Linked DNA regions of Pelodiscus sinensis. The protein of the gene in region 1 purifies or fractionates together with the protein of each later gene. This does not show direct contact. Links are inferred from orthologs where the notes say so. Each region holds a gene or a part of one and is shown on either strand. Other genes may lie near its edges. The genes, in order: PSMC6 and ECPAS.

The links.
Region 2: the proteins of PSMC6 (region 1) and ECPAS purify together in Homo sapiens (affinity purification with western blotting; 3 studies listed by BioGRID and IntAct, with this or other methods). This does not show direct contact. The link is inferred for Pelodiscus sinensis from reciprocal best matches to the Homo sapiens genes PSMC6 and ECPAS.

The regions. Positions count from the first base shown.
Region 1 is NC_134714.1:7,697,997-7,708,188, forward strand, and holds the start of PSMC6 (26S proteasome regulatory subunit 10B), read left to right. Parts: upstream 1-5,378; 5' UTR 5,379-5,410; coding exon 5,411-5,537; intron 5,538-7,759; coding exon 7,760-7,839; intron 7,840-8,190; coding exon 8,191-8,230; intron 8,231-8,438; coding exon 8,439-8,491; intron 8,492-9,382; coding exon 9,383-9,450; intron 9,451-9,930; coding exon 9,931-10,045; intron 10,046-10,192. UniProt on the Homo sapiens protein: Component of the 26S proteasome, a multiprotein complex involved in the ATP-dependent degradation of ubiquitinated proteins.
Region 2 is NC_134716.1:10,164,340-10,174,861, forward strand, and holds the start of ECPAS (proteasome adapter and scaffold protein ECM29), read left to right. Parts: upstream 1-5,470; 5' UTR 5,471-5,682; coding exon 5,683-5,719; intron 5,720-9,044; exon of another isoform or gene 9,045-9,165; intron 9,166-10,522. UniProt on the Homo sapiens protein: Adapter/scaffolding protein that binds to the 26S proteasome, motor proteins and other compartment specific proteins. May couple the proteasome to different compartments including endosome, endoplasmic reticulum and centrosome.

The DNA.
Region 1 (10,192 bases):
CAGCTATACACTACTAGGTAAAGCAGTTCATTCTTTCTTTATAATGACCTAGATTTCTGTACATCGTCACCTGGTGGAACCTGACACAAGCACAGTCTAGAGAGCAGCAGGTGTAGCCTGATAGTGTATAGAATGAGTAATTCTGCAAAAGTCATTCCACTGTTGCAACTGAAAATTAGTGCAACCCCAGAGCTTCCTGACTGCGCAATTGTTAAAGAATGTCTTTAATGGTTTTACTTGCAACTGACTCTTCTCTATGCAAATTACAATATCTAAGTTGTTTGATTATTCATTTAATTATTATATTATAAAACCGATACTACGTGTTTTCTACCACACTCACCCTCTGAAGATGCAAAGCACCTCACAACTTCCCAGTAGGGAAGAGAAATAAAAATTGCCCTTGCTTTTCAGGAAGGGAAATTAAGGCACTGAAGATTGAGACCAGCATTGTCAATCTTGGGTGTCTTGAGTTAGTTTTGTCGCTCCATGCTTAGACACCCAGATAAAAGGGGCCTAATTTTCAAAAGCACTGATCCCTCAGAGCTCCCATTGACTTTGAATATTAGGTTGGACATTCAAAAAAAACTTTGTCAGGGTGGGCAAGGGTAACCCACACACCTGCTGGGTGCATTGTTCTGTACCATCTCTTGGCATTGAGACCACTTACAGAGAGTTTGCTCTAGAGGCGATCCTGGCAATTACAGACCGGTAAGTCTAACTTCAGTACCGGGCAAATTAGTCGAAACAATAGTAAAGAATAAAATTGTGAAGCATGTAGAAGAACATAATTTGTTGGACAAAAGTCAACATGGTTTCTGTAAAGGGAAATCCTGTTTTACTAATCTGTTAGAGTTCTTTGAAGGGGTTAACAAACATGCGGACAAGGGGGATCCAGTAGATATAGTATACTTAGATTTTCAGAAAGCCTTTGACAAGGTCCCTCACCAAAGGCTCTTGTGTAAATTACATGGCCATGGGATAAGAGGGAAGGTCCTTTCTTGGATTGAGAACTGGCTAAAAGACAGGAAACAAAGGGTAGGAATAAATGGTAAATTTTCAGATTGGAGAGGGGTAACTAGTGGTGTCCCCCAAGGGTCAGTCCTGGGACCAATCCTTTTCAACTTATTCATAAATGATCTGGAGAAAGGGGTAAGCAGTGAGGTGGTAAAGTTTGCAGATGATACAAAACTGTTTAGGATAGTGAAGACAGAAGCAGACTGTGAGGGACTCCAAGAAGATCTCACCAAACTGAGTGATTGGGCAACAAAATGGCAAATGAAATTTAATGTGGATAAGTGTAAAGTAATGCACATCGGGACAAATAACCCCAACTATACGTACAGTATGATGGGGGCTAATTTGGCTACGACAAATCAGGAAAGAGATCTTGGAGTTATCGTGGACAGTTCTCTGAAAACTTCCACGCAGTGTGCAGCGGTGGTCAAAAAGGCAAATAGGATGCTAGGTATTATTAGGAAAGGGATAGAAAATAAGACCCAGAATATCTTACTGCCCCTCTATAAAACTATGGTACGCCCACATCTTGAATACTGTGTACAGATGTGGTCTCCTCACCTCAAAAAAGGTATTTTGGCCTTGAAAAGGGTTCAGAAAAGGGCAACTAAAATGATTAGGGGTTTGGAACAGGTCCCATATGAAGAGAGGTTAAAGCGACTGGGACTTTTCAGTTTAGAAAAGAGGAGACTGAGGGGGGATATGATAGAGGTCTATAAAATCATGAGTGGTGTGGAGAGGGCCGATAAAGAAAAGTTATTTATTAGTTCCCTAAATAGAAGAACTAGAGGACACCAAATGAAATTAATGGGGAGCAGGTTTAAAACTAATAAAAGAAAGTTCTTCTTCACACAGCGTGGTGTCAACCTGTGGAACTCCTTGCCAGAGGAGGCTGTGAAGGCTAGGACTATAATAGAGTTTAAAGAGAAGCTAGATAATTTCATGGAGGTTAGGTCCATAAAAGGCTATTAGCCAGGGGATAAAATGGTGTTCTTGGCCTCTGTTTGTCAGAGGCTGGAGAGGGATGGCAGGAGACAAATCGCTTGATCATTGTCTTCGGTCCACCCTCTCTGGGGCACCTGGTGCTGGCCACTGTCGGTAGACAGGATACTGGGCTAGATGGACCTTTGGTCTGACCCAGTACGGCCGTTCTTATGTTCTTATGTTTGTAAGCCACCTCAAACATTTCAAACAGAGAGGTGAGGTAAAAATATTTTAAATAAATAAATAATAGTTACAGACTAACACGGGTACCCCTGAGATCCCTTTCTGATGTTAATGGTGGTGGAGTCGTGTTTCTTCTACCCTGCTTGCTAAGAGTGAATTCACGGGGAGCTGAAATCACTTGAGACTGATGGGCAGAGATCACAGCCAAAAAGTGGATGGCAACCTGTGGTGACTGACAGCCGTCAGGACAGTGGTGGAGAGATGCAATGAGAGACCAGCAGGACAGAGGTGGAGAGATATAACGAGCAGCCAGCAGGGCAGCGACAGAGAGGTGTAGCAAGCAGCCAGCAGGGCGGCGATAGAGGGGTGCGGCAAGCAGCCAGCAAGGTGGCGACAGAGAGGTGTGGCAGGTAGCCAGAAGGGCGGCGATAGAGGGGTGCGGCAAGCAGCCAGCAGGGCGGTGACAGTGAGGTGCGGCAAGCAGCCAGCAGGGCGGCGATAGAGGGGTGCGGCAAGCAGCCAGCAAGGTGGCGACAGAGAGGTGTGGCAAGCAGCCAGCAGGGCGGCGATAGAGGGGTGCGGCAAGCAGCCAGCAAGGTGGCGACAGAGAGGTGTGGCAAGCAGCCAGCAGGGCGGCGATAGAGGGGTGCGGCAAGCAGCCAGCAAGGTGGCGACAGAGAGGTGTGGCAAGCAGCCAGCAGGGCGGCGATAGAGGGGTGCGGCAAGCAGCCAGCAAGGTGGCGACAGAGAGGTGTGGCAAGCAGCCAGCAGGGCGGTGACAGAGAGGTGTGGCAAGCAGCCAGGAAGGTGGCGACAGAGAGGTGTGGCAGGTAGCCAGAAGGGCGGCGATAGAGGGGTGCGGCAAGCAGCCAGCAGGGCGGTGACAGTGAGGTGCGGCAAGCAGCCAGCAGGGCGGCGACAGAGAGGTGTGGCAAGCAGCCAGCAGGGCGGCGATAGAGGGGTGCGGCAAGCAGCCAGCAGGACGGCGACAGAGAGGCGTGGCAAGCAGCCAGCAGGGCGGCGACAGAGAGGCGTGGCAAGCAGCCAGCAGGGCGGTGACAGTGAGGTGTGGCAAGCAGCTGGATGGCAAATGGCCAGCAGAGTAAGATGCCTCTTTGTCCCCCTGCCCCCATTCAGGATGAGAGATAAACTCTGTGGATGCACCTTTGAACTCTAGTCTGCCCTGGCTTGGCCAAGGGCAGCAACTTGGAGTGGGGTGCAGAGAAGGGGTGGGCATGTGACGGGGACATTGAGGTTGCTGGACTTAAGAACCTGAGAGGAAAAGGACACTGTCCAACCTGCTTGGGGTGGGACTGTTACTCGTGGTTGTTTATGAGCCCTGTTTGTGGTGTGTTCCCAAGTTACTTCCCTCTCTCTTATTAAAAGTCTCTTTTCTACGCTCACTCAGACGCTGTGCTTGTGAATGGGGGAGCATTGCCTCTCAGAGACGCCCAGAAGTGTTGTGTGAATTTCCCAGGTTACTGGGCTGGGGCTTGAGCCAGGTCAGTGTTGAATGGATGGAGAAGAACCCCTAGCTATTGAACCTGGCCCTGGCTGCAGCTGGCTCCACGTGGCAGAAGGGTTGCATCTGTGTTGTATGTCAGAGGATGTTCAGCTCAGACCACACCCACTCAAACAAACTGTCACAAGGAGGTTTTAGCCTGTAAAGAAACGATGAACAGGAAGAATGACAATCCAGTAGCCTCCTGTCTCCTTGTTTGCCTGGCACTCCCAGCTTCAGTCAGTGCTGACACTTCCTGCTAGGAAGGCAAAGGTCAGGTGCATCTTGGCAGGAACCACCGCATTTGTAGTTCCCAGTACTTCTGAAGTATACAACCCTGGGCTACCTAAGCAAGCCTATTTTAGTCTTGAAGTAAAAGCACTGCAGAGAAAACATATTAAAAATATATAAGAAGCTACATACAATCTAAGGAGAAATCTCCTCCTCTTGGTCTGTGTTAGTCCTTCCGACCCTTCCCTAGGGAGCAGGACCCTCTGTTGAGCAGAGCTCCCCTCAGTTTGCTGGATCAAAAGAAAAAACCCAGACCCGGATTAAAAGCAGGCTGTTTCTCTAATAATGCCGTCTGGGTCTGGTCCCATGCGAATCCCGTCTGAACTAGTATTTGCAAACTTCTGTGGGGGGTGGGTTCCAAAAACTGATAACCACGGGAGTTACAACATCCGCATATCCCCTCCTCTTAGAGAAGCGATGCGCAATCTCACAATAACATGTACACAATTGCATTTTAACACCATGGACCCCCCAAAGAGCTACACTTCAGTTCAGTAAAGCTGGTCCAGGTTACTTATCTCTATCACAGAGGGGAGATAGGAGCCGGACTTCTCTAGGAAGTAGGGAAGGATGAGCCCTGAGAAGGGCTCTTTGCAGAGTTTTCCTCCTCTTGTTAGGTGACTTGTGTAAACCTTTTCAGGACTGGGGTCTACCACACAGAGCTTAACTTTGTGCCTGCAAGCACCTCCTGGCTATGTCTACACTCCAAGGTGGACACCCCTGTGGAGTGTCCACACCTCAAGCGCACTTTTGCGCAAGAAAATCGACAGAACAGAGGGCTTTTTCCAGGGCAGTTATTCCTCTCCCCACGAGGAATAACTCCTTTGTGTGCCACAGCTCTTGTGCAAAAAGGCAGGTGTGGACTCTCCGCAGGAAGAAGAAACCCCTCCGGGAAAAAGCACAGGTGCAAGACCTTCCTTGCACAAGAGTGTCCATGCAGCGTGGCCGCTCGCGTGTGCGCAGGCACGTGGCTGCGCTTTGAGGTCTGGACGCGCTTTTGTGCCAGACGTTTTTGTGCAAAATCTCTGGCGCAAACGGCGTCTTCTCCAAAAACCCTGCGGTGTAGACGAACCCCCTCCCCGGGGGGGGGGGGGGAGCTAAGCAGGGGGCACAGGGTGTGAGATCCAGGCTGCTGGAGCCATCACCGCCCATGGAGTGTGTTTTACAATTTGTCAAGAGAATGCATTTTTGGCCCCCCTCCCCCCCCCAGCAGTGCCACGCCCCCGCGGCATCGCTCCCTCCCTCCCGGGGCTGGCTGTGCCCTGCCCTGCTGGCGCGGTGCTCACGGGCACTAGGACCCGGGGAGGCCGCGCGGGCGGCGGCGGGCGGGCGGGCGCGGCTCCCCGCCGGGGCGCCAGGGGGCGCTGTGGGCGGGGCGCGCGGCCGGCGCGCGGGGCGGGGCAGGCGGGGCGCGCGGCCCGGCCCCCGGCGGCCATGGCCCTTCCCGGCATTCCCTATGAGCGGCGCCTGCTCATCATGGCGGACCCGCGAGACAAGGCGCTGCAGGATTATCGCAAGAAGCTGCTGGAGCACAAGGAGATCGACGGGCGCCTCAAGGAGTGTGAGCGCCGCGCGGCCGGGGGGGCCTCCTAGGGCGGAATGGGGGGGGCGAGGAGAGGGGGGGCCGGGCCTCCCAGGGCGGAATGGGGGGGCGAGGAGAGGGGGGGCCGGGCCTCCCAGGGCGGAATGGGGGGGCGAGGAGAGGGGGGGCCGGGCCTCCTAGGGCGGAATGGGGGGGGCGAGGAGAGGGGGGGCCGGGCCTCCTAGGGCGGAATGGGGGGGGTGAGGAGAGGGGGGGCCGGGCCTCCTAGGGCGGAATGGGGGGGGCGAGGAGAGGGGGGGCCGGGCTTCCTAGGGCGGAATGGGGGGGCGAGGAAGGAAGGGGGGGGCCGGGCCTCCTAGGGCGGAATGGGGGGGGCGAGGAAGGAAGGGGGGGCCTGGGCCTCCTAGGGCGGAATGGGGGGGCGAGGAAGGAAGGGGGGGGCCGGGCCTCCTAGGGCGGAATGGGGGGGGCGAGGAAGGAAGGGGGGGCCTGGGCCTCCTAGGGCGGAATGGGGGGGGCAAAGAAACGGGGGGGCCTGGGCCTCCTAGGGCGGAATGGGGGGGGCAAAGAAACGGGGGGGGCCGGGCCTCCTAGGGCGGAATGGGGGGGGGCGAGGAGAGGGGACCGGGCCTCCTAGGGCGGAATGGGGGGGGGGCGAGGAGAGGGGACCGGGCCTCCTAGGGCGGAATGGGGGGGGGCGAGGAGAGGGGACCGGGCCTCCTAGGGCGGAATGGGGGGGGGCGAGGAGAGGGGACCGGGCCTCCTAGGGCGGAATGGGGGGGGGCGAGGAGAGGGGGGGGCCTGGGCCTCCTAGGGCGGAATGGGGGGGGCAAGGAGAGGGGGGGGGCCTGGGCCTCCTAGGGCGGAATGGGGGGGGGCAAGGAAACGGGGGGGGCCGGGCCTCCTAGGGCGGAATGGGGGGGCAAGGAAACGGGGGGGGCCGGGCCTCCTAGGACGGAAGGGGGGGCCTGGGCCTCCTAGGGCGGAATGGGGGGGCAAGGAAACGGGGGGGCCTGGGCCTCCTAGGGCGGAATGGGGGGGGCAAAGAAACGGGGGGGGCCGGGCCTCCTAGGGCGGAATGGGGGGGCAAGGAAACGGGGGGGCGGGCCTCCTAGGGCGGAATGGGGGGGGCAAGGAAGGAAGGGGGGCCTGGGCCTCCTAGGGCGGAATGGGGGGGCAAGGAAACGGGGGGGGCCGGGCCTCCTAGGGCGGAATGGGGGGGGCAAGGAAACGGGGGGGGCCGGGCCTCCTAGGGCGGAATGGGGGGGGCAAGGAAAGGGGGGGGGCCGGGCCTCCTAGGGCGGAATGGGGGGGCGAGGAAACGGGGGGGCCTGGGCCTCCTAGGGCGGAATGGGGGGGCAAGGAAGGAAGGGGGGGCCTGGGCCTTCTAGGGCGGAATGGGGGGGGCAAGGAAGGAAGGGGGGGCCCGGGCCTCCTAGGGTGGAATGGGGGGGGCAAGGAAGGAAGGGGGGGGCCAGGCCTCCTAGGGTGGAATGGGGGGGCAAGGAAGGAAGCGGGGGCGGGCCTCCTAGGGTGGAATGGGGGGGGCAAGGAAGGAAGGGGGGGCCGGGCCTCCTAGGGTGGCATTGGGGAGAGGGAAGCGGGGGCATCCCCCTGGAGGTGGGGGTCTGGCCGCTGCCCTGATTCAGTGTGTGAGAGGAGGGGGTTAATACCCTGTTTAAGGAATCCCCCCTCCTAAAGAGGCGTGCCCAGTCCCAGCCCCCTACCCCGGCTGGTTATTAGGGTTTCAGAGGGGAAGCTGAGTTAGTCTGTAACAGGAAAAACTTTAAAGAACAACAACAACAAATAGTCTGGTAGCACCTTAAAGACTAACAAAACATGGAGATGGTGTCCTGAGCTTTCGTGGGCAACTGGATTTTACCTGTGGAAGCTCATGATGCGATTTACATGATTATTAGGGTAGGCCCCACAGAGCTAACACTAGGCCAGGGATATATGTGTATGGAGAAGTGATTAAAGTATCTTGTTTTCCCATTAGCATTCTCCTAGTCTAATGCAAGCCAGAGTTATTTCAGAGGGGGGTAACCCATTGGGATTGGTGGGGTGTCATCACTCTGGGCTAGAATGACTGCTTCTAGCAAGAATAGCCAATCGCTGATTCTCCTGTATCAACTCGAACTGATTTCAGGGTTATATCTTCTCTGCAAATTGACAAGCCCTGGTGCTTGGTTTCTAATAGATTAAAGGGTAGTAAATCCTTTTCTTTTTTTGTGTTTTAGTAAGGGAACAACTGAAAGAGCTTACCAAGCAGTATGAAAAATCTGAAAATGACCTCAAGGCTTTGCAGAGTGTTGGACAGGTACGCATTATACATAATGACACAACTGTGGATGGCATTGGGTGGTAGGTGAGCTGTGCTTAACAAATTATTACCACAGTTGAAGAATATGAACAGGATATGGTACCCTCAGAGCAAATGTACCACGGTGTGGTCTTTTACAAGTGGTAAGTACACAGAGTTAGGTGTATTTTTAACAGCTGTTCCTGGTTTATGGGCAATAAGAAAGAAATAGAATAGTAGGCCGCTCCTGTGGAGCAGGAATAGGGTGTAAAGGTGACAGGCAAAGATCAAATTAGGAATGTATGTTAAATATGCTATATACTAATACTTTCATAGATGCAGATAATACTTTTTTCCATTTTTTCATAGATTGTTGGTGAGGTTCTTAAACAGTTAACAGAAGAGAAATGTAAGTTTCTTCGCTGATATATTTTACTTTTTTAAACTTCTGGTCTTCAAGATAAGCAAAATAAATGACACATTTAAAGAATGAAATGGAGCATTACTAATTAGTCATCACTATGAAAATATTGTATAATTGCTACTTATTTTGTACCAGCAATCAGGGGGATTAAAAAGCTTTATCTTGTTTTCTCTGTCATTTTCTCTCTCTTTAGTCATTGTGAAAGCTACAAATGGGCCAAGATATGTGGTTGGCTGTCGTCGTCAGGTAACACTGCTTTGCTTGGATGTTTTTAAATAGCTTGCTCTGATATTAAGTATTCATTTTTTGTTACATATTTAAAGTCAGCAAGTTTGTACACTATTCTTTAAGTTGCGCTTGGCTACTAACATAGATGTAGTGCTCTCTGCAGTGTAGAGATCGGTATGGCATGCCGAGAGTGCTGGAATGAATTCATGGGAATAATAAAGCAAAGTGTAAACAGCCTGAGATGATATGGGATTCTTTTAGTTTTTTTTTTGGTTCTTATAAAGTTAAGTATAAGCTGTTAAGGCTATACCAGAACCCCATTCCTCTAATGTTTAGAAACCCTCTAATTTCTAGCCTAAATCTACTCGTGGCTAGTTCATCCCTATTTGTTCTTCTGCCAGTGTTGTCCTTTAGCTGAGAGAGCTCTTCTCTCTCTCTCTCTGATATTTACCCATTTGATGTATGTAGAAATAGCAGTCCTTTTCCCTCTTAGCCTTTGTTTTGCTAGGCTAAACTAACCAAGCTTTTTTAAGTCAGGTCTACCCTAAACCCGGCAGCTTGTCATAAGGTACTCAACTTCAGCAACGTAGAATACATAGCTGGAGTCACCTTATTTTAAGCTGAGCTTGATGGTGTCCCCAAGGTGTAAGGGGTGAAAACAGGTGTAGGAATACATAATCAACCAAACTGCCTGCCCGAATTGCAGGGGTGTTGTAATCCACTACATTCCTCTTGATCGGCTATCTTCACTTGTATCAGAGGGAGAGGGGAAAGTCACTAACTGAACCCATGCTGGCACTAAATCCTTTTTCTGTCATACCAAACAAGAACAATTACTGCAGAAATACAGAATTCCATCACTTTGCTGTTTGAGTCAATTTCTAATAGAAACATCTCTTGTAACACTAGCTTGACAAAAGTAAGCTGAAGCCAGGGACAAGAGTTGCTCTGGATATGACTACACTAACTATTATGAGGTAAGTTTTTGCCAACAAGTTATTTTTTTTTCTATGAAGGACAGAGTTGGTCTAAACATGTTGCAGATAGTAGGTGTGAACAAAGTGCTTCAAAAATCTTTCAAATACATTATATGGGCAGATACGTCCGACGTGATCTTACCGATTTACCACAGCTAGTCAATTTTTGTTTGTTTGCTTGAAATGACTCTTTAGTCAAAACAGAAACTTCTGTAGGAAATATCTGGTATTGTCAACATTTCTGAGTATTTTGTTGAAACCCTCCCCAAATGTTTAACTTCTGAAAAGTTTCTGACTTCCAGTCTTCACGTTTTATTGCAAAAATGATTTATAGATTTGGAGAGAAAATGTCCATTTTTTTTCATAGGGGAAACAAGAATTTGCCAACCAGCACTAAGATTTATTTAAATGACTGATGAATATACGGTCTGTTCAGAATGAAGAGATAACATCTGTTTTATTAATACTCAAATGTTACAGATACTTGCCAAGGGAAGTGGATCCATTGGTTTACAATATGTCTCATGAAGATCCTGGGAATGTTTCTTATTCTGAGATTGGAGGGTTATCAGAACAAATCAGGGAGCTGAGAGAGGTACTGAATGTTACATTACAGAAATACCTACTAAATGGAGGTACCTACTCTGAGGAAAAATTTGTACTTCATGTCGTGCCTGTTAGGTGGGTTAAAAGGTCTAAAAAGTCTAATGTGCTATTTAAATATGTTCAGAAAAGGTTTATA
Region 2 (10,522 bases), on another chromosome or scaffold:
ATGCACATCAGACCCAGCCAACACATCTGCAATTCCTCCCCACTCCTTTTTCTGTTTTTATAGCTTAGCTCCCTAGGATCTTATCAGTTTTCTTTCCCCTGCTATTTTTTCCAGTCTTCACTATGGATGTAGTAGTGTAGTTGATTAACCAATTAGCAAAAGCTTAAAGGTTAATGCTATAGACTACACAGGTTTCCCTCTTTTCCCCCTCCCTCCGCCAGTAATTTTTTTAGCTGGCTGGCCAGCAGCGTGGCTCAGTCCTGGCTCCTTCCAGGTCCAGGACCTACTGCCCCCTCCTCCCCCTATGGCTCTGCATTTAAAGTGTATTAGGAGCCAGATGGAGTGGCGTGGGGCCGGAGCACACTGGCTGCCGGCCTCACCCCTGGGGACTATAGAATAGTCAAATGACCGGCCCCAAATACTTGACTATTCAGGTAACCAGTATTTAATATCTCTAGTCTCCGTTAGGGAATAAGCACCTCTTCTGCATGCGCTCACCTAATTGACTTCGATAAAAATTCAACCTTGAGGCCTGCTTTCTTTGTGCTTTCACTATCCAGTCACTTAGGCAAACTTTCCTGGCATTTTCTATTTGCTGGTTTGTGTATTTCATTTAATAGTGAAAATGAGGCATCCTTTCATTTCAATGTGCTTTTCTGATTCCTTACAGTTCTGAACTCTCAAAACTTTTTATAAAGCTTGTGGCATCTGAACAGGGCCCTCCAGCTATCCAAAAATAGTATTGATGTATAATAAAAAAAATGCCTGATCAGTGAAAATGCCTTCCTCAGCCTCAAAGGATGGTCAGCTCCTTCCAAGCATTAATGTGGTTAACATCCCTTTATCTTCTTGAATTTCTGCTAAATATGTAATGCATGAACTCTTTTGATTTATTTATGACTTTGCCTCACTAATTCCTTTCCACTAATTCACCCCTCCCTTTAAAACATAAAGCCTCTTTAAATTATCCCTACATTTATCCTTGTATCCTATATATACCTAGTCTTGTGAGATTTGTAGCCCTTTACAGTCCCAGGTGTATAAGAGCAAAAAGGTTTGCCACCCAGCAAATTTAAACTGGAACAGACTAACCCTTGGTTTTGATACAATAGGCTGAGGCATTTTCTCAAAATCAGACCATTTCCAGTAAACTGGGAACTAGTCACACAGTTATCATAAAAATAGCCTCTTTGTTAATTTGAACTGTGATGCTACTGAAATGGCAGTCTTGCCATGTTTTTTTTTTTTTTTTTTTTTTCATTTACATTTATTTCTCTCTACAGGCAGTCCCCGGGTTACGTACAAGATAGGGACTGTAGGTTTGTTCTTAAGTTGAATCTGTATGTAAGTCGGAACTGGCGTCCAGATTCAGCCGCTGCTGAAACTGATCAGTTTCAACAGCGGCTGAATCTGGACGCCAGTTCTGACTTACATACAGATTCAACTTAAGAACCCCAGGCATCCCCAAGTCAGCTGCTGCTGAAACTGATCAGCGGCTGATTCCAGGAAGCCCAGGGCAGGGGCTTCCTGTAGTCAGCCACTGGTCAGTTTCAGCAGCGGCTGACTTGGGGACGCCTGGGACAGAGCAGCTGGGGTGCTGCTGGGTTGGTCCAGTAGCACCGCCGCTCCTCAGCGCTACTGGATCAACCCAGCAGCACCCAAACTGCTCTGCCCCAGGTGTCCTGATTCAGCCGCTGCTGAATCTGACCAGCAGTGGCTGAATCAGGACGCCTGGGGCAGATCAGCTGGGGTGCTGCCCGGTTGGTCCAGTAGCGCCCAGAGCGGCGCTATGGGACCAACTGGCAGCGCCCCAGCTGCTGTACCACAGGTGTCCGGAGCAAAGCCATGGAGCACAGGGGCAGCGGGACAGCCCAGACGCGCCGTGGCTGTCCTGCTGCCCTCGGGCTCCGTGGCTTTGCTCTGCTTTGTTCCCCGTCCCCCTGGTCTGCAGACCAGGGGGACGGGGAGCAAAGCGGCGGAACACGCGGGCAGCGGACAGCCCAGACGCGTCTGGGCTGTCCGCTGCCCGCGTGCTCCGCGGCTTGGCTCTGCTTTGCCCCCCCGTCCCCCTGGTCTGCAGACCAGGGGGATGGGGAGGGGCAAAGCAGAGCCAAGCCGCGGAGGACGCGGCCAGCTGACAGCTGTCAGCTGACTGCGCGCTCCGCGGCTTGGCTCTGCTTTGCCCCACCCCACCCCCCGTCCCCCTGGTCTGCAGACCGGGGGGGGGGGGGCAAAGCAGAGCCAAGCCTCGGAGCGCGTGGGCAGCGGACAGCCCTGTCCGCTGCCCACGTGTTCCGCCGCTTTGCTTCCTCTCCCTGGTCTGCTGGAGACCAGGGAGAGGAACGGCCCCGTTTGTAACTGCGGATCCGACGTAAGTCGGATCCGCGTAACTCGGGGACTGCCTGTATATTAACTTTTCCTTCTCTTGCTTGTTTGTTCCCATTTTCTTAAATCCTTTTCTTGACATGAACACAACTAGCTCTTGCCAGCCCATTTTTGATAGACCCAACTCTCACCACAGGATGATAACATTTCACTTAAGCAGTTTGTTGCACCTTTTGCTACAAAAATAAAATAGTTCACTGACAGTCTTATTATCCAATTTTTCCAGAACTAGCTTCTTCAATTCTTTATCAGCTTTAGTCAGTTTGTGCAGGAGGAAACACTGTTGTTAGGTGAAATTCACAGTCCCCTCAGTTTGAACTCCTGTGCTGTAGCCATTCTGACTAGGGCTTGAAGCAGTTTGGTGTCCTGTGTCTTTGTCATCTTCTGGTGACAGCAGGCTAACTGTGCATGCACCATCACTAACACACGCAACGCTTCCTGGTATGAGATCACTCTCCCCTTCCATCTGGATTCATAGGGTGCATATACATAGTACCCTAAACTCGAAATAAGATATGCAATTTGCACTATGCAAATTTCATAGCTTATTTTGAGTCTATTTTGAAATAAAGCGCTATTTGAGCCATTCCTTACTCCTGGTAGAATGAGGTTTATAGGGATGGCGAAATAGCTTGTCTGCTATTTTTCAAAATAGCGGACATATTCAGAAGACATGGGATAGCTATTTTGGGATACCTCTAGTATCCTGAAATAGCTTTGCAGTGTAGACATACCCATATAGAGCAAACTGCAACTTCTAACACTGGAAACCCTGATTTTAAAAAAAAGAACAAATAGGTAATGGATCAATGCCAGAATATTTCCAGTCCATTTGTTCTTCAGTCTCTAAGGAAAACGGCTCAACTTTCAAGGATCAGACAAGCTACAGCTATTATAAAAAAGCTGGGCACTGTAGGGTCTTCTGTAAATTATACTATGGAAAGATATGGAGGAAGGGAATGTGTGTACATTCTATATAAGCAGGGCTCAACAAACTATAGAATCTATTCGCCTGTGGCGAATAGATTTCAGCTGTGTGCCCCGTTTACCAGCGGTGCGCACATCCACAACGCGGCTCTTGCACATGCGCAGTGCAGGGCTGGCGAGCGACTTTTGCCGCTGTTTGTCAAGCCCTGTATATAAGGAAGTGCTAATATATTTGTTAGGTTTTGGGTTTTCCGTTATACAATTCAACCTTATGTTTAAAGTTGCTTAGAATTAACATTTGTCTTTTCTATTAACAGGGTTCGATAATATCTCAGTGAGAATAACCTCATGGCTAAAATAAAGGCTTTAAATATGAAACTTCTATTCTTTCCCAAATGCAGAGGTGTTTTTTTTTTTTTAAATATAGGTACCAGGAGGATAGGAGACAGAGTTGTTCCTTGGTGGATTTTTGTATTATACCTTGATGTTGGTACCCATTGAGAGTTGAAGCACTAGATGAGGATTGTTAATGTCTTTAAAAGAGTATTTGTAAATTAGAAACACTGAGGCTGTCTCTACACCGGCAAGTTATTCCAGAAAATCAGCCGCTTTTCCAGAAAAACTTGCCAGCTGTCTACACTGGCTGCTTGAATTTCCGGAAAAGCACCGATAATCTAATGTAAAATCATCAGTGCTTTTCCGGAAAAACTATGCTGCTCCCCTTTGGGCAAAAGTCTTTTTCCGGAAAACTGTTCCGGAAAAGGGCCAGCGTAGACAGCACAGTGGTGTTTTCCGCAAAAAAGCCCCGATTGCGAAAATGACGATCGGGGCTTTGTTGCGGAAAAGCGCGTCTAGATTGGCCACGGACGCTTTTCTGGAAAAAGTGCTTTTCCGGAAAAGCATCCTGCCAATCTCGACGCACTTTTCCAAAAATGCTTTTAATGGAAAACTTTTCCATTAAAAGCATTTCCGGAAAATCATGCCAGTGTAGACATATCCAGAGAGTGGAGGAGTCTAATGGAAATGCTTTAAATCCATATAGTTTAATCCACTCGTTTGAGCTCTAATTTAGAATAAGGCACACCTATTCTGGAGTATGAGTGTCCACACATGAAAAGTAATCGAATATGGCAGGATGTGAATTTAAAGCTGCTTAACTATTCCCCATTAAGTCCATGTGTGGACACACTAATTCCAGCATAAAAGTGCTGCTAATTCAGAATAAACCACTCTTATTCTGGAATAGGAATATTCATACATAGATACATTTAAAAAACAGCAAATGGTCTGGTAGCACTTTATAGATTAACAAGAGATGGTATCATGAGGTTTTGTGGGCACAGCCCACTTCTTCAGATGACTGGAGTTGTGAGCTTAGGATGTGCAGATCCAAACGAAATAGGGGAGAAGGAAAAAAATGGAAGGGTGTGGGAAACAAGGAGCAGAGGGTATAAAAATATAAAAGGGAAAACCAAATAGGTAGAACTGGTAATCTATGAGCACCTAAAGATTGGATAGTTAATCAGGATTAGCTATTAGGGCATAACTTCCCATGTAAAAGTCTAAAGTAGCTTGCAAAGAAAAACTAAGGTAAGGGAACAAAGTCCCTCCTGGAGCAGCTTGAGGGTATGGCCAGGACCCTAGTGGCTGTTGGGAGGACAGATGGGAGGAAGTAGCACCCCTCTGAGGGTGTTTCACACTTCCTCTAAATCTGTGCCTGGTCGGCATTGGCTACAAGTCCCGGGCAACACCTTTCCCAGCTAGAAAATCCTCCAGACTGCTACAAGCAGCTACCACAGATAGGGGGAGAAAGGCAGCGGCGTCGCTGTGCTGCTGACCCGAGCCTCTCCACCACCCCGACCCCCTTGCAAGTGGAGAGAAGTGCCTCGGGAGCCATGGAGGTCAGCCTGGACTCAGGTCAGTGGCCCGGCCTGGGGGCAGGCCGCGTGCGGGGGCAGGGCGAGGGAAGGCGCCCAGGGCCGCTGCGCACATGGAGCGGCCGCGGGGCTAGTGCCTGGCGCCCGTCGGCGAGCGGAGCTCTCGGGGCGGCCGGTGTCTCAGGCGGTGGCGTGGCGGAGGGGAGGGGAAAGCGGCCCGGGCGGGGGGGCTGGGACGATGGCTCAGCTCTTTCTAAATATAAAACTAAAGCGAAGCGAGGGAGGTTGGCCTGGGGGAGGGCGTGAGAGCCGCGCACCCTCCCCCTCCGCGGGAGCTGCCGGCGGGCGCGGCGAGCAGGCGGGCGGGCGCCCCGGGCCAGGCGGCGGCGGAGGGAGAGAGCCGGGCGAGGAGGGGAGGGACCGGGGCTGGGAGCCACCCTGAGCGAAGGGAGCCTCCGGAGCCGCGCGCCCCCGCCCCTCGGCGGCTGGCAACATGGCTGCGGCCGCCTCCGCCGCCCAGGACGAGCTGAGTAAGTGGGGCTGCGCGCGGGGGGGCTCTTGGCCGACAGGACCCCCCCTTCCCCTCCCGCCGCGTGTCCGCGCTGGGGCCGGGCCGGCGCTGCGGCGGGAGCGGGGAAGGGCTGTGAGGGGGGGATGCGGGTTTCCTCGCCCCAGTGTCCGGGCGCTGCGCCCCGGGGCCCCGGCGGGGGGAGCCGCGTTAGGCCGCGGCGGTGCGCAGTCATGGTGCGAAAGGGAAAGCGCGCTCTGAGGGGGCGAGCGCCCGCCCCGCTGTGTGTGTGGGGGGGGGGGGCACGAGCCCCAGCCTGCGGCTCCGGGGGCTGAACAGCCCCGGCACAGGCCGGGCAGCGCCGCAGTGACTCTGCTTTCCTGCCCGCTGGGGCCGGGGAGCGGCCCAGCCGCGGGGCAGGGCGAGGGGAGGGTGGCGCCGGCCTGAGGCTGCGCGCCCCGGCTCTGGAGTGCCCCTCCGCCCGGTGTCCCCGTCCCTGCCAGGGGCCTGGGCCCAGCTTGGGGAGCTGAGAGTTTCTGGGCGTGGGGCCCGCCGCAGGAACTGCTACTGAGGCCGGCTGGGAAATGTAGTCCTCGGTCCCAGGCTGTCAGCTGAGCCTGGCCCAGTGGTTAGAGCAGATCAGCTCTGCCTGCCCTGCTCAGTGATTGCAGGGGGGCGCCAGCTCCTCGCTGGGTGACCTTGGGCAAGCCCCGTCCTGGCCACCTGGACTCCGTTCTCCATCTCTGATCTGTCATTAGTTATTCTCCCTTATCAGGCAATAGCAGTGGTTCTCAAAGTGTGTGTGTGTGTGTGTGGGGGGCGCGCTCAGGAGCCATGGGGGTATTACCTGGGGGATTGTGAGCTGTCAGGCATCACCCCGAACTCTGCTTTGCCACCAGCATTTATGATAGGGCTAAACATTTTTTTAAAAAGTGTTTTTTAGTTTGTAAGGTCTCAGGGGGTAGCCATGTTAATCACTTTAAAAACGGCAAGTAGTTCTGTAGCAGCTTTAGAGACTAACAAATATATCAGGAGTATTTGTGGGGGAAAAACCCCCCGCTTCATCAGATGAGCTCGAGAGGGATAACATAAACCCAGAATTTATAACAGAAGAAAAAGGGGAGGGGAGAGGTAGAACCTGTCAGTTATAGGACCTGGGAAGTCACATTCAGAGGTTTGTTGTGTGAAAGTGGTCAGGAGTACAAAAGTTTGAAAACTGCTGGACTAGAGTATTGTGAAGCTTAATGTTTGTAGAGTCCTTAGAGATGCATGGATCAGAAGTGCTACAGATGTGTAAAGTATTATAAAGTTCTGGTCACTTATATTCTTCTTCAGATTTTCTGCTGAAAGCACACTGTAGATACAGATAAGCCTTCAGTCACTGTATATTTTTTCATTATAAGGAAAAAATATGAAAACTCTCCCCTTCCAGAGCTTGATATGTTTTGTTTGGATTTAAAGTAGAAACGTAATGTAAGAATAAAATATATTGGAAAACACATTTATCCATTTCAGTCTTCTTTTGTGCAAATGATGTTCCTAATCCCGCATTAAGAATTGCATGGCACACTGTGGGCCCATGCAGTTCTCAGTGCTGATGAGGATAGAAGTCAGAATTTGAGTAATGTAGTTGTGTAAGTTTAAAAATACTCATTTGCTGGTCAGAAATCGACACCCAGTTTTGGGTGGTTTTTTAACCTTCACATCTACTGGTGACTCTGGTGCAGTAAGTATAAACCTGTCTCTGAAGAAGTATAAAATGTTAAGGGAATGTTTTCTTGTTGCTGCATCTCCTGAGGTATAACTAGTTTTCAGATGATGTATAACCCAGCTGGGGGAACTATGAGCCTGATGTGTGGGCTGGGGAAAATGGTGTTTTGGACTTGACTTGGTTGTGGAATTGAATTACCACCAGAAACTCAGCAGAAGAAAGAAAGCTATTAAGGATTTTCAAGCTGCAAGCTGTCATATTTAAACCACACGTTGGTGTTTGCTGTGTAACTTTTCTGTGTCCTCTCTTTGGAGAGAACTCTAGTTTCTATAAACTGTTGGGTGAGGGGTATAGACAATGGAACACTAAAATACTAGTGGAGTCCCTACTGTCAATAATTCTGTTTTTTTGTTTTCAAGTCTGACACAAATGTTAACATGCTTACTCAAATGAGAGTTGGGATGAATCATTGTCATGACCATTTTCTGTAGTCTAGAAAAATTATTCCAACTCTATGGTCCCCCATCAGCCATGAAATTCTTCCTCAACAGTCAATGATACATCACTGTTGTTTCCTTTGCTCTCACACTTTGTGAAATTACTCAGGCCTTCTGACCTGAGGGTAGTGGGTATTTTTTTTTTTTTGAAAAGGGATGCTGGTGGTTTTTCTAATGCTACCTCTTATGAATAAATGGAAAAGTTGTGCAGTCAAAGATGAACTTTAACAAGAAACATAAGTAGTACCGGGAGAGGGGAAAACTGGGCAGACTTCTCAGGAAGAAGGATGTGAGAGACTAAAATTAGACATCACATTGTATTTTGTTAGGGATCTGATTGGTAGGATAATGAGCCTCCTGTAAGAGTAACCATGACTTTGTTTTAGACCAGAAATCCAATTTATCCCTGTTTTGTAGATATTTAGCTGTAATAAACTTTGGTCTGTAGAAGCAATCAAATAGATGAGCTGTTACTACCTTTTTTGTTGAGGGGGTGGAAAAAAGTGCTTGCTTAAACTTTTTCCATGAGGATATTCATGATTTGGTAGATGAACAACTTAAACAGTGATTGCTTGAATCCTAATTTAAAATCCATAAATTGGGCCTAGAGCTATGAGTGTTTTGAAACTGGCTCCCCCCCCCCCTCGTGTTGTATCTAGAGACTGGGTAGTAATCTAAAGGGAGACTAAACCTGACACACTGAACATGGAAATCCAAATTTTGACATTTAAGATCTGTATCTAAACTTTTCTCTGATATGGAGGAGTATGATGAAAACATAAAAATACTTCCCAAGAGTGAAAGATCACGCTTTATAAACTTGACTAGTGGTGTGGCCAGGTCCCTAATAGTGCTCTCCTAAAGTAATTCAAGATTGTGGTAGAGCAGTGGTCACCAACCAGCAGATTAGGATCTACTGGTAGATCTTGGAGCCTCTGTCAGGTGATCCTGACTGGTTTGGCCCTGTGGCTATCAAGTGCCTGCACTTCAGCTGTTCCTCTTCCCACTGCCGCACATCTCCTGCCCTTTGCCTTGGAACTGTTTCCCCCAGGAGCCTCCTGCTTGCTGTGCAGGAGAGGGAGAGGAGGGCACTGAAGTAAAGGCGCCCCCGTCTCCCACCTTGTATCCTGTCTCCACAGAGCAGAGTGGGGGCACAACAGGACTAGGGATAGAGCAAGTTTGCTGGCTGCTTTTGGGAGCTGTGCAGAGCTGGGGAAGGGTGAGCCTGCCTTAGCCTCACTACACCAGGAGCCAGCTGAGGTAAGCAGTGCCCAACTGAGGTCCACATCCTGAACCCCAACCCAAGTCATGAACTGCCTCGACCTCAAGCTCCTGCCCTAGCCCTGAGCCCTCATGCATGCGAACACCCTCCCAGAACCTGCAACTTGAACCCTGTCCTACAACCTAACTGCCTGCCCTAAGCTCGGCTGAGAGCCCCTCTCACACTCCAAATTGGGGTTGCCAGATGGCTGAAAGAAAAATATGGACCCCCCCCCAAAAAAACCCCACCAGAAAAATTTTTGTTGAAGGGGGGAAAAAAAGGAGGGGGGTGTACCAAAGTTGTTGAGCCAAAAAAAAAAAAACCCAAACACTCCAAGAACCTGGATCACTGCTAGCAGTTACCAGGTAATCATATAATATTAAAACAAACAAACAAACAAAAAAACCATGCTTCATGGGTGGTGGGGGACCGGCCAGGAAGGGAGTGGTGCTGGCTGGGAAATGGGGGGGGCGTCAACGGGGCTGGCTGGGGGAGATGGGGGGGGGGCCAATGGAAAGCAGGGCTGGTCATTGGGGGGCAGGGTTGGGTGGAACGAGGCTGGCCTTGGGATATCGGGGGAGGGGAGACTGGCCGGAAGGGGGTGGGGCTGGCTGGGAGTAAGGGGGGGCGGGAAGCACAGCTGGGGGGGATTGGGGGCCACGAGGCTGGCCGGGAGGAAGGGGGAGCGGGGAGCAGAGCTGGCGGGCACAGGAAGAGGTACAGCGGTGTTGGCCGGAGGAGACAAGGAAGAGGAATGGGCTGGTGGGAAGCAGAGCTGGGGGGCAGTGCAGGGGGGCTGGCTGGGGAAGATCAGGAAGGGAAGTGGTGGAGAACCGGCCGACTGGGGCGTGGGGGGTGAGCAAATTGGCCAGCGGGAGTGGGACTAACCTGGGCACTTTGTGCCTGTCCTGTGCAGGCTCCCGGCGATGCATGAGTGAGGAGGAGGCTTCCCCTCCTCCTCACACTCAACCAGTGGAGGGCTCCCAGCGGCAATCGCGGCCCCGCTTCCCAGCTGGGACTCCCAGCCACTCCCACGCCCATGCCATCCGGTGCGCAGCCGGAAAAATTAGAAAATACCAGACATTGCACATCTCCGGTATTTTCTGATTTTTTTTTTACCGGACAGAGAGCGCAAATACTGGACTGTCTGGTACAATACCGACACCTGGCAACCCTACTCCAAATCCCTTAACCGAAGACCGGAACTTGCACCTAACCCTCTGCCCCAGCCTGGTGAAAGGATCGGGGAGGGAGGATGGATTGAGCAGGGCCGGGGCGGGGCCTCAGATGAAGGTGCGGCAAGGAGCACGAAGGACGCGATGTGAGGCGAGAGTATTTGGGTTTGAGGTAGATCTT